2 linked regions of the Macaca fascicularis genome follow. The protein of the gene in region 1 binds, or shares a complex with, the protein of each later gene. Links are inferred from orthologs where the notes say so. Each region holds a gene or a part of one and is shown on either strand. Other genes may lie near its edges. The genes, in order: ITGAM and PTN.

Region 1 (4,364 bases):
GCCTCCCAAAATGCTAGGATTACAGGCATGAGCCACCGAGCCCAGCCAAGCTTGTACATATACTTTTGACTATACTTCTTAACTATTTCTTAGGATAAATTACTAGTAGTGAAAATTCTTGGGTGAAGAGCTTGAGGCCTTTAAAAAAAAAACAAAACAAAACACACACACACACACACAAAATAAGCTGGATGCAGTGGCTCACACCTGTAATCTCAGCACTTTGAGAGGCTGAGGAAGGAGAATCACTTGAGTCCAGGAGGTTGAGAACAGCCTGAACAACATAGCAAGATCTTGTCTCTACAAAAAATTAAAAAAAAAAATTAGCTGGCCATGGCATGTGCCTGTAGTTCCAGCTACTCAGAAGGCTGAGGTAGGAGGATCACTTGAGCCCAGGAGGTTAATTGAAGCTGCAGTGAGCTGTGATTATACCACTGCACTCCAGCCTGGGCAGCAGAGCTACACTCTGTCTCTGAAAAAAGCACAAAATAATACTTAAAAAGCACAAGGTGTGCCTGTACTTGAGTTGTCCTTGTATGGCTACAAATGAGGACTGCTCTGGCTGAAGGGCGCTCCCATTTCCATGGGCTGAACGAGAGACATTTTGCAAAGTGTGTTTCCAGGAAGACACAGAGTTTGACCTCCTACACTTGTTTGATCGGTATTAATGTTTGCTTATTTATTTATTTATTTTGAGACAGGGTCTCACTGTGCCACCTGGGCTGGAGTGCAGTGGCATTATTGGGGCTCACTGCAGTCTCAAACTCCTGGGCTCAAACAATCCTCCTGCCTGAGCCTCCTGAGTAGCTAGGACTACAGGCATGTGCCACCATGCCTGGCTAATTTTTTAAATGTATTTTTTTGGTAGAGACGGGGTCTCGCTCTGTTGCCCAGGCTGGAGTGCAGTGGTGTGATCATAGCTCACTGCAGCCTGGACCTCAGGCTCAAGTAATTCTCCCGCCTCAGCCTCTCGAGTAGCAGAGGATACAGGTGCGCACCACTGTGCCCAGCTAATTAAAAATATTTTTTTGTAGAGACAGGGTCTCTCTGTGTTGCCCAGGCTGGTTTCAAACTCCCAGGCTCAAGCAATCCTCTTGCCTTGGCCTCCCAAAGTGCTGGCATTAACAGGCATGAGCCACTGCGCCTGGCCCGTATTAATGTTTAGAACATGAATTCCAGGAGTCAGGCTAAGTCTGTTCAGCTTGTTCATATGCTTTGGCCAACCCAAGAAACGAGTATGTGACAAATGGCACCTTTTGGATAGTGGTAGTGACTTTGATGGTTTGAGCCAGGAAGCTGGGGAGGAAGGGTGGGCAGGCTGTGGGCAGTGCTGGGAGGATTGGGAGGAAGACCAGGCAGGGCTGTGTGGTCACTGAGCCTCCGCCCTCTTCCTTTGAATCTCTGATAGACTTCTGCCTCCTACTTCTCCTTTTCTGCCCTTCCTTGCTTTGGCAGCTTCCTTGGGGTTCCTCAGTGGCGCCTGCAACCCCCGGTTCACCTCCTTCCAGGTTCTGGCTCCTTCCAGCCATGGCTCTCAGAGTCCTTCTGTTAACAGGTGCATGGGGGTGGGGTGGGGGACTCTGGGTGAGGAGGAGGGGAACTTTTGGGTCTGTCATAAAGAGAGGGCCCAGAGTATGTAGGATTCAGTCTGGGGAGAGGCAAAGGGGATTGGGGAAGGAGAAAGGGTTCAAGAAGAAGCAGGGAGAACAGCTAGACCCAGACAGGCTGGCCAGGGAAGCCTGGATGAATGACCACATTCATGGACTGTGCAAGGCTGCTTGGTTGGTCCTTGCTTCACAGATGAGGAGACGGAGGCCCAGAGAGGAGAAGTGACATGGCCCAGGGTGCACAGCAAGTGTGAGACCCCCTTCCTGAGTACTTCCTCCTGGATCCCCTCTCACCATCTCCACTTTGCCTCCGGTTCCGTTTTCCAAGGACCCGGGTGCAAATGTTTGTTGAATGACTGATGAATCAAAACGATTTGAGTTTGTTTCCTTTTATGCTTGTATGTTGTGGAAAATGAAATTCTCCACAAAAGGGAAGGAAATGCTTGAGAGCTGCATAGGAAGGAAATTATCTAATTGAGAATGCATAGAAACTTCACTGTTGGGCAAATCATCATTGTGGTGACACTGGGGGAAGAGACCATTTGGGTGCTCAGAAGGGAGGCTGGAATTCAGAGCGGGACTGGACGTACCCCATGATGATGGTTCTTAGGTCAGGAGTCAGCGAACAGTGGCCTGGGGGCCCGATATGGCCCACCACCTGTTTTTGCACAACCTGCCAGCCAGAGGTTGAAGATGAACACTGACAATCGATTTGATCATAGGGAGCACCACCCCCAAAGAATTCTATTTGTCCCATTCATAAACCTGTATTACGAACAAATTGTACTTAATCATTACGTTTGGAATTTCCCTAATGACAAATTTGTGGACAAGTATTTTCTGTCTTGTTGTATGAGTACTTGTGCAACATATTCTATCAGCCTCTTGGCCTGCAAAACCTAAAATTTACTATCTGGCTGTTATAGAAAAAGTGTGCTAATCCCTGCCCCAGGCTATCAGAGCTGTACCTGGGAGGCAGACATCTGGATGCTGGGTTAGTTAGGGTGACCGAATGGACGGGAAGGGGAATGGAGCAGGAAGATATGCTGCTATCTCTTTTTTTTTTTTTTTTTTTTGATACAGGGTTTTGCTCTGTTGCCCAGGCTGGAGTGCAGTGGCATGATCATGGTTCACTGCAGCCTTGACCTCCTGGGTTCAAGCAATCCTCCCACCTCAGCCTCCTAAGTAGCTGGGACTACACGCACGTACCACTACACCTGGCTAATTTTTTAGTTTTTGTAGAGATGGGGGTCTCACTGTATTGCCTAGGCTGGTGTTAAACTCCTGAGCCCAGGTGATGCTTCCACATCAGCCTCTTAAATTATTGGGATAACAAGCGTGAGCCACCACGGCCAGCCATTGCTTTCTTTTAAATTATTATTATTATCATTTTGTGTGTGTGTGTGTGTATGTGTTTTATTTTGAGATAGGGTATCTCTCTGTTGCCCAGGCTGGAGTGCAGTGGCACAATCAGGGCTCACTGCAGCCTCAACTTCCTGGGCTCAAGTGATCCTCCTGCCTCAGCCTTCTAAAGTGCTAGGACTACAGACGTGTGCCCCTGCCCCTGGCTGGCATGCTACTTTCCTCTGTTTCACTCGTCCCCCATTCTCCCTTTAGCCTTGACCTTATGTCATGGGTTCAACCTGGACACTGAAAACGTAATGACCTTCCAAGAGAACGCAAAGGGCTTCGGGCAGAGCGTGGTCCAGCTTCAGGGATCCAGGTGAGACCCTCAGATGGAGCCCCCTTTCTCAGTGCTTTCTCTCCAAGACTTACATACCTGAAAAAAATCAGCGATTTCATTGAGTGATATTTTTGAATAGATAAATCAATTCAAAAGATACAATAAATTTATCTTTTGAATTTACAGTGTTCTAAATTCAAAAGATGCAAAAGGGTATAAGAGTAAAACTCTCTTCCTCACTCCCTTCCCCCAGTTCCCTTCCCAGGAGGGACCTGACGAATGGTTTCTTGTGTGTTGCTTTGGGGAGACTCTGTGTGTACATAACACATACACGTCCCTCCCTCAGCCAACACACCATGTGTAGCACACATTGTACTGCAATTAAGGCCTGCCTGCAGGCTGCTGCCTATTTTTGTGAATAAATTTTATTGAAAACAACCCCGTTCACTTGTCACTTACTGTTTATTGCACCCCCCGCCTCCCTCCCTCCCTTCCTTCCTATCTTCCTCCCGCCCTCTCTCATTCCCTGCTTCCCTCTTTCCCTCCTTCCCTCCCTTCCCTCTTGCCCTTCTCTCCCTTCCCTCCCTCCCTCCTTTCCTTCCTTCCTTCCTTCCTTCCTTCCTTCCTTCCTTCCTTCCTTCCTTCCTTCCTTCCTTCCTTCCTTCCTTCCTTCCTTCCTTCCTTCCGTTTCTTTATTTCTTCCCTTTCTGACATGGTCTTGCTCTGTCACTCAGCCTGGAGTGCACTGGTGCAATCATAGCTCACTGTAGACTCAAACTCCTGGGCTCAAGCAATCCTCCCACCTTACCCTCCCGAGTAGCTGGGACTACAGGCATGTGCCACCACACCTAGCTAATTTTTTGATTTTTTTGTATAGACGAGGTCTCACTCTTGCCCAATCTGGTCTCAAACTCCTGGCCTCAAGTCATCCTCTTGCTTGGGCCTCCCAACTTGCTGGGATGATAGGCGTAAACCACTGTGCCTGGCTATGGCCACTTTTGAGCTGTAATAGCAGAATCCAGGAGCTGTGATAGAGACTGTATGCAACCCAAAGCCTAAAACATTTACCTTTA
Region 2 (4,281 bases), on another chromosome or scaffold:
AGTGATATGACCTTGTGCCAGAAGGAGACAAAATCTCTTCGATTATTCATTTAGAAAAGAAGCCAGAGGAAAAAACATTCCTCACCCTTGTGAAGAAGCCCAACTCAACATCACTAGCAAAGCCATGGAACAAAGGCCATTGGAGGGCTCCCACTCAGCCTCATGCTCCAGAGAAAAGCACATCTCAAACTGGGCCGAGTTGCACTCAGGTGTGGAGGACGTTTGCACTCATCACATTGGGTGGTTTCAGTCTGGACACCTCCTTCCGGAAAGAAGTCAGGAACAACTCCCCATATCATTATGCTGCCATATTAAAAGGCATAATCGTTTAGAGAACTGGAATTTTTATTCCAAATTTAGACTTCAGGCCTTCAATCTATTGTTAATTTATCACACCATTTTCAACGAGCCAGGTAAACTCAGTTTTGTGGGAAAGTTTTGAATAGTAATTAAAAACACCACATCACAATGGGAAGATGATCAGAATTCATGTGAGAATGTCATATAAGTGAGAAAGCAAGAATATCTTCAAAGGAAAAATAAAATATTTGAAGTTAAAATATTTGATATCTAAGATTGATTTTATTTTAAAAAAATGATTCAACTATCTGGGGATCTTATTTCTCTCTGTTGTTTTCAACAACTAGGTTTTATGAAATTTTAAACCAGGCCATTGATTTGACTGAAATTTTAAAAACAATGAAAATGCAGATCTTGTTATGTGTTGCTATAAGTGAAGCCAAAATAAGGCACATGGAAAATATCAATAAATTAATAAGTTTATTATTCCAAATCTCATGATCTCATGGAAAGAGGTCTAAAAAACAGAGAATTATATATAATACATTAGACTATAAGTACAGTTAGGTATACCTTATTACTCTAATTCTCTACAATATCTCATTTAAAGTCAGATAATTAAAAAGTCATATATTTAATAGGGCTTTTATTTATCTCAAGCTCTAGCTTTGAGAACATAATGCATTTGCATCCAGAAGCAAACAGCTGGAACACAGCACCTAATGCTGTTATATGTGGCTTCAGGTGGGAGTTCCTTATAGTGACTTTTCACTAAATGCAGAAAAAGATGTCCTAAAGGGAACCAGTGAGCAGTGGCAGAGAAAAGATCACCTTCTATGTATTTAAAGTCCAATTAGAGAACTTAAGGCCCAAGTTTCTTAAAGCACAAAAGAATGGTATTAGAGTTGTTCTTTTTTTAAATAATACAATTTTTTAAAATCTCACCTTCTAATTTAAATGAAAGAGTACAAATATTGCCAGTCTGAAATAACTCATGTCCCAAAGGAAGCAAAGAAATTCAAATTTCCTCTGAATTTAACTGGACTATATTTTTTAAATGACTTGGCCTTTAAAGTGCATAATTTACTTAAAAGGAAACATAACGAAGATGGAAAACACAGCTTTATTTTCTGCACTGGGAGACTTCTGTTTTGTTTCATTGTCATTACCTTTTAATATTCCTATATATCAACGCATTCCCAGATAATTAAGGGGCTAACATGGGCCCTGCTGTTTCATCAATTCCACATTTGCCTACGATCATAAAATTGCTTCATTATGTTATTAGTTCAAAAGTTCTTTTTGGTAATTCCTGAATCTCCTCCCGTACCCCTCTCTCCAGCACACACACACACACACACGCACATGCACACATCACCCCTTTCTCAGGCTGCTAAAGCAAAATGCCTGGTGACTCTTAACATGAGAAATGTTCAAGGACTGGAGCTTTAATGTTCTCTCCTCTTAGGACCCCTATCCCTCCTATTTTCTGAATGTGTCCCCAAACTTACAAAGCAGCTCTTAATAGACACAAGGGTGAGTTAACACTAGAGTGTATATAAATTGCATGTATGTGTTCCTGTGTGTGTGTGTTGTGTTATGTCATGGAGAAAGGGGTGTGTGTGTGTATGGAGAGGAGAGAGAAGGCTTCACTTTACATCTATTAAGTAAGAAAGGAGTTGAATATATTCCTCTCAAAAAATATTTTCTTAACTTATTAGAAACAACAACTCAGAAACTCTAAAAATCTAGTAAATTAGTAACAAATATATCCTAAATTTATGTGGGTCAAATTAAAAGTTTAATGGGTCTATGTACAGGGCAGTTCTTTAAATTTGCATTCAAACGAGAGACGGGACTCCAGATGTGTCTTCTAAACTTCGGTTCTAACCATTTCTGGAACCATTCCTGGGCTGTCAGGTGGGAAGACGGGTGCCACTAGTGCTGTGAGAGAGGTTCCATGTCAGCGAGCACTGGGAGGAACAAACCCGCAGCGCTTACCTAGAAATGCCAGCTAAGAGTCATGGGCTGGCGGGCCCTGGGGCAATCAGAGAATCAGAGAGAGGTTGGGAAAATGAGAGCTGCTTGTTCAGGCTGCCGTACTTTCTCTCCAACTACTCAGCCAGAGACACACCTACTAAAGCTCCAGGTTTTACGAAAAGCAAAGATGCACTCTCCAGCCCACCGCTGGAACACGGTCCAAATGCACGCTTAACATCACAAAAACTTCTTTCCTTTCACTTACCTAAGCACACCCTAACTAACCTAACCTGAAACCCCCAAAATACGCCTCCCTTGGCCTCTGGAGCAAGTCAGTTTTGAAAGCAGTCCTATCAGCAAAGACACCGGGCAGCCTCTCTCACTCCTACCACCATCATGTGTTGGTACCCGGAAAAGTGGCACAAGGTGAAGGCAAACTCGATCGAAGAGCCCTCCGAGAAATCGCACATTCCTCTCACTTACTTTGAGTTGCAAATGTCCCCTCTGGCGCTCAGTCTGCCTTTGTTGCAAGGGGCGAGGTTGCTACGGCTGAGTCCAGGTACCCGGCTCGCTGCAGCTCCTGCTTGGTCTGCTGCTGCTCTCCCCGCCTTCTGGACGGATCACTGGTCTCTTTCTTCCCCTCTCTCCACTTTGGATTTTCCTCTGCTCTGGGGCTCTCTTGGCGGGATTTTTGGACTGGAAGGCGGGGAACCTGATCCTGCCTTTGACTCAATTACGCCCTGACAGGGAGGGAACGGAAGGGAAATGGAGAATGGGAGGGATGAGAGGAGCGGGCCAGGAGGACGCAGGCTGGGCGAGGGAGGGAGAGCGTTTTGCACTCGAGAGCTGATTGGGAAGCTTATTAAAAGCAGAATACTCCAGGGGCAGTCTCTCCCCGCGGAGCAAGAAAGAAAACGGATTTGAACCAAGAGGCCATGAGATGGTACCTTGTTTTGTTTCTAGCAGAGACCAAACACAACATTTCTTTTCCAAACTCCACCCATGATCTATTCTTCAGATGAGTGCAAAGCCACTTTGCCAAATAGAATATTTTAAATGGACAATTGATGGCATTTTAGGTTACAGTTTTGGCCCCCCACAATCCTTTAATGATATTCAGGATGAAAAAGCACTCTCTTCGAACCAGCCTCTTCTTCCACCCACGAAAGCCCTCCCTATACACAGAGGCAGTTACCCAGCTGTCAGTCACATCTCACCTGCAAAGCACAAAATGTACAAAGTACTTTTTCTCAATTGTCACAGAGTGACAGACGTCTGAAAGTTCCCAATTAAGTGCTACTTACCTTTAGGGAGAGCTCTTTCCTTTTTTGGTTTCCTTGGCACATTTAGCAACCTATTCAGTAACATGCCTTTGACACCCAAGAATTTAGAGGATTCGTCAATGTAGCTCAAACTCTGAGGTTTGTAAAACTTGGAGGCTGGACTTTGCATCTCTCTGGAATTTTCATTTCATTCAATTGAGGAAAGATGCTAAGGCAATGCATAGGTAAATATTTATGATATAGATGAGATAAAAGTATTGTGTAAAAGGATTAAGACGTATTACACAAATTCACCCAAACATTTTAAAAATGTAAATTTTGAGATTTTCTGCCACTTATCAGCTTTTCCTGCTCCTTGGTTAGTTCCTTTTACCCACTTTTACTGCTCAGCTTATCATTTGATGGCGTCCATCCCAAATTGCTTGTAAAAGAGACTCGCATTTTTCATAGTTCTGAGGTTACATCCATTCATTTCAATTTGACAAATATTTATTAAGCAACGTATTTACTTAGAACTATCCTTAAACCCCCAAACTAGAAGCATTGTCTTGTGGCAAGTAGTTTTTAGAGACTTGGGGCTCTTATATTGACTGCTACCTGTAGAAATGTCCCTTGGAGAAGTTAGCTGGAACCAAAGAGGTGGCTCTACAAACTCAATCAAGCAGTCAGTCAAGCTTTTCAAAAGGAACAGCATCAGAGATGCACTTACACACATACA

What was found.
Region 2: the proteins of ITGAM (region 1) and PTN are in contact, whole or in part, in an NMR structure (PDB 8VOH), measured with the Homo sapiens proteins. The link is inferred for Macaca fascicularis from reciprocal best matches to the Homo sapiens genes ITGAM and PTN. Residues at the interface, in NP_000623.2 of Homo sapiens: Pro273, Asp276, Arg277, Gly279, Val280, Ile281, Arg282, Tyr283, Lys306, Pro307, Arg309, Asp310, His311, Ala334, Ile335, Glu336, Gly337, Thr338, Gln339; in NP_001308315.1 of Homo sapiens: Val56, Pro57, Thr58, Ser59, Asp61, Cys62, Gly63, Leu64, Thr66, Glu68, Thr79, Lys81, Thr82, Gln83, Arg84.

Annotation. Positions count from the first base shown.
Region 1 is NC_088394.1:29,463,320-29,467,683, forward strand, and holds the start of ITGAM (integrin alpha-M), read left to right. Parts: upstream 1-1,437; 5' UTR 1,438-1,527; coding exon 1,528-1,555; intron 1,556-3,224; coding exon 3,225-3,330; intron 3,331-4,364.
Region 2 is NC_088377.1:179,008,064-179,012,344, forward strand, and holds the start of PTN (pleiotrophin), read right to left. Parts: upstream 3,018-4,281; 5' UTR 2,764-3,017; intron 1-2,763.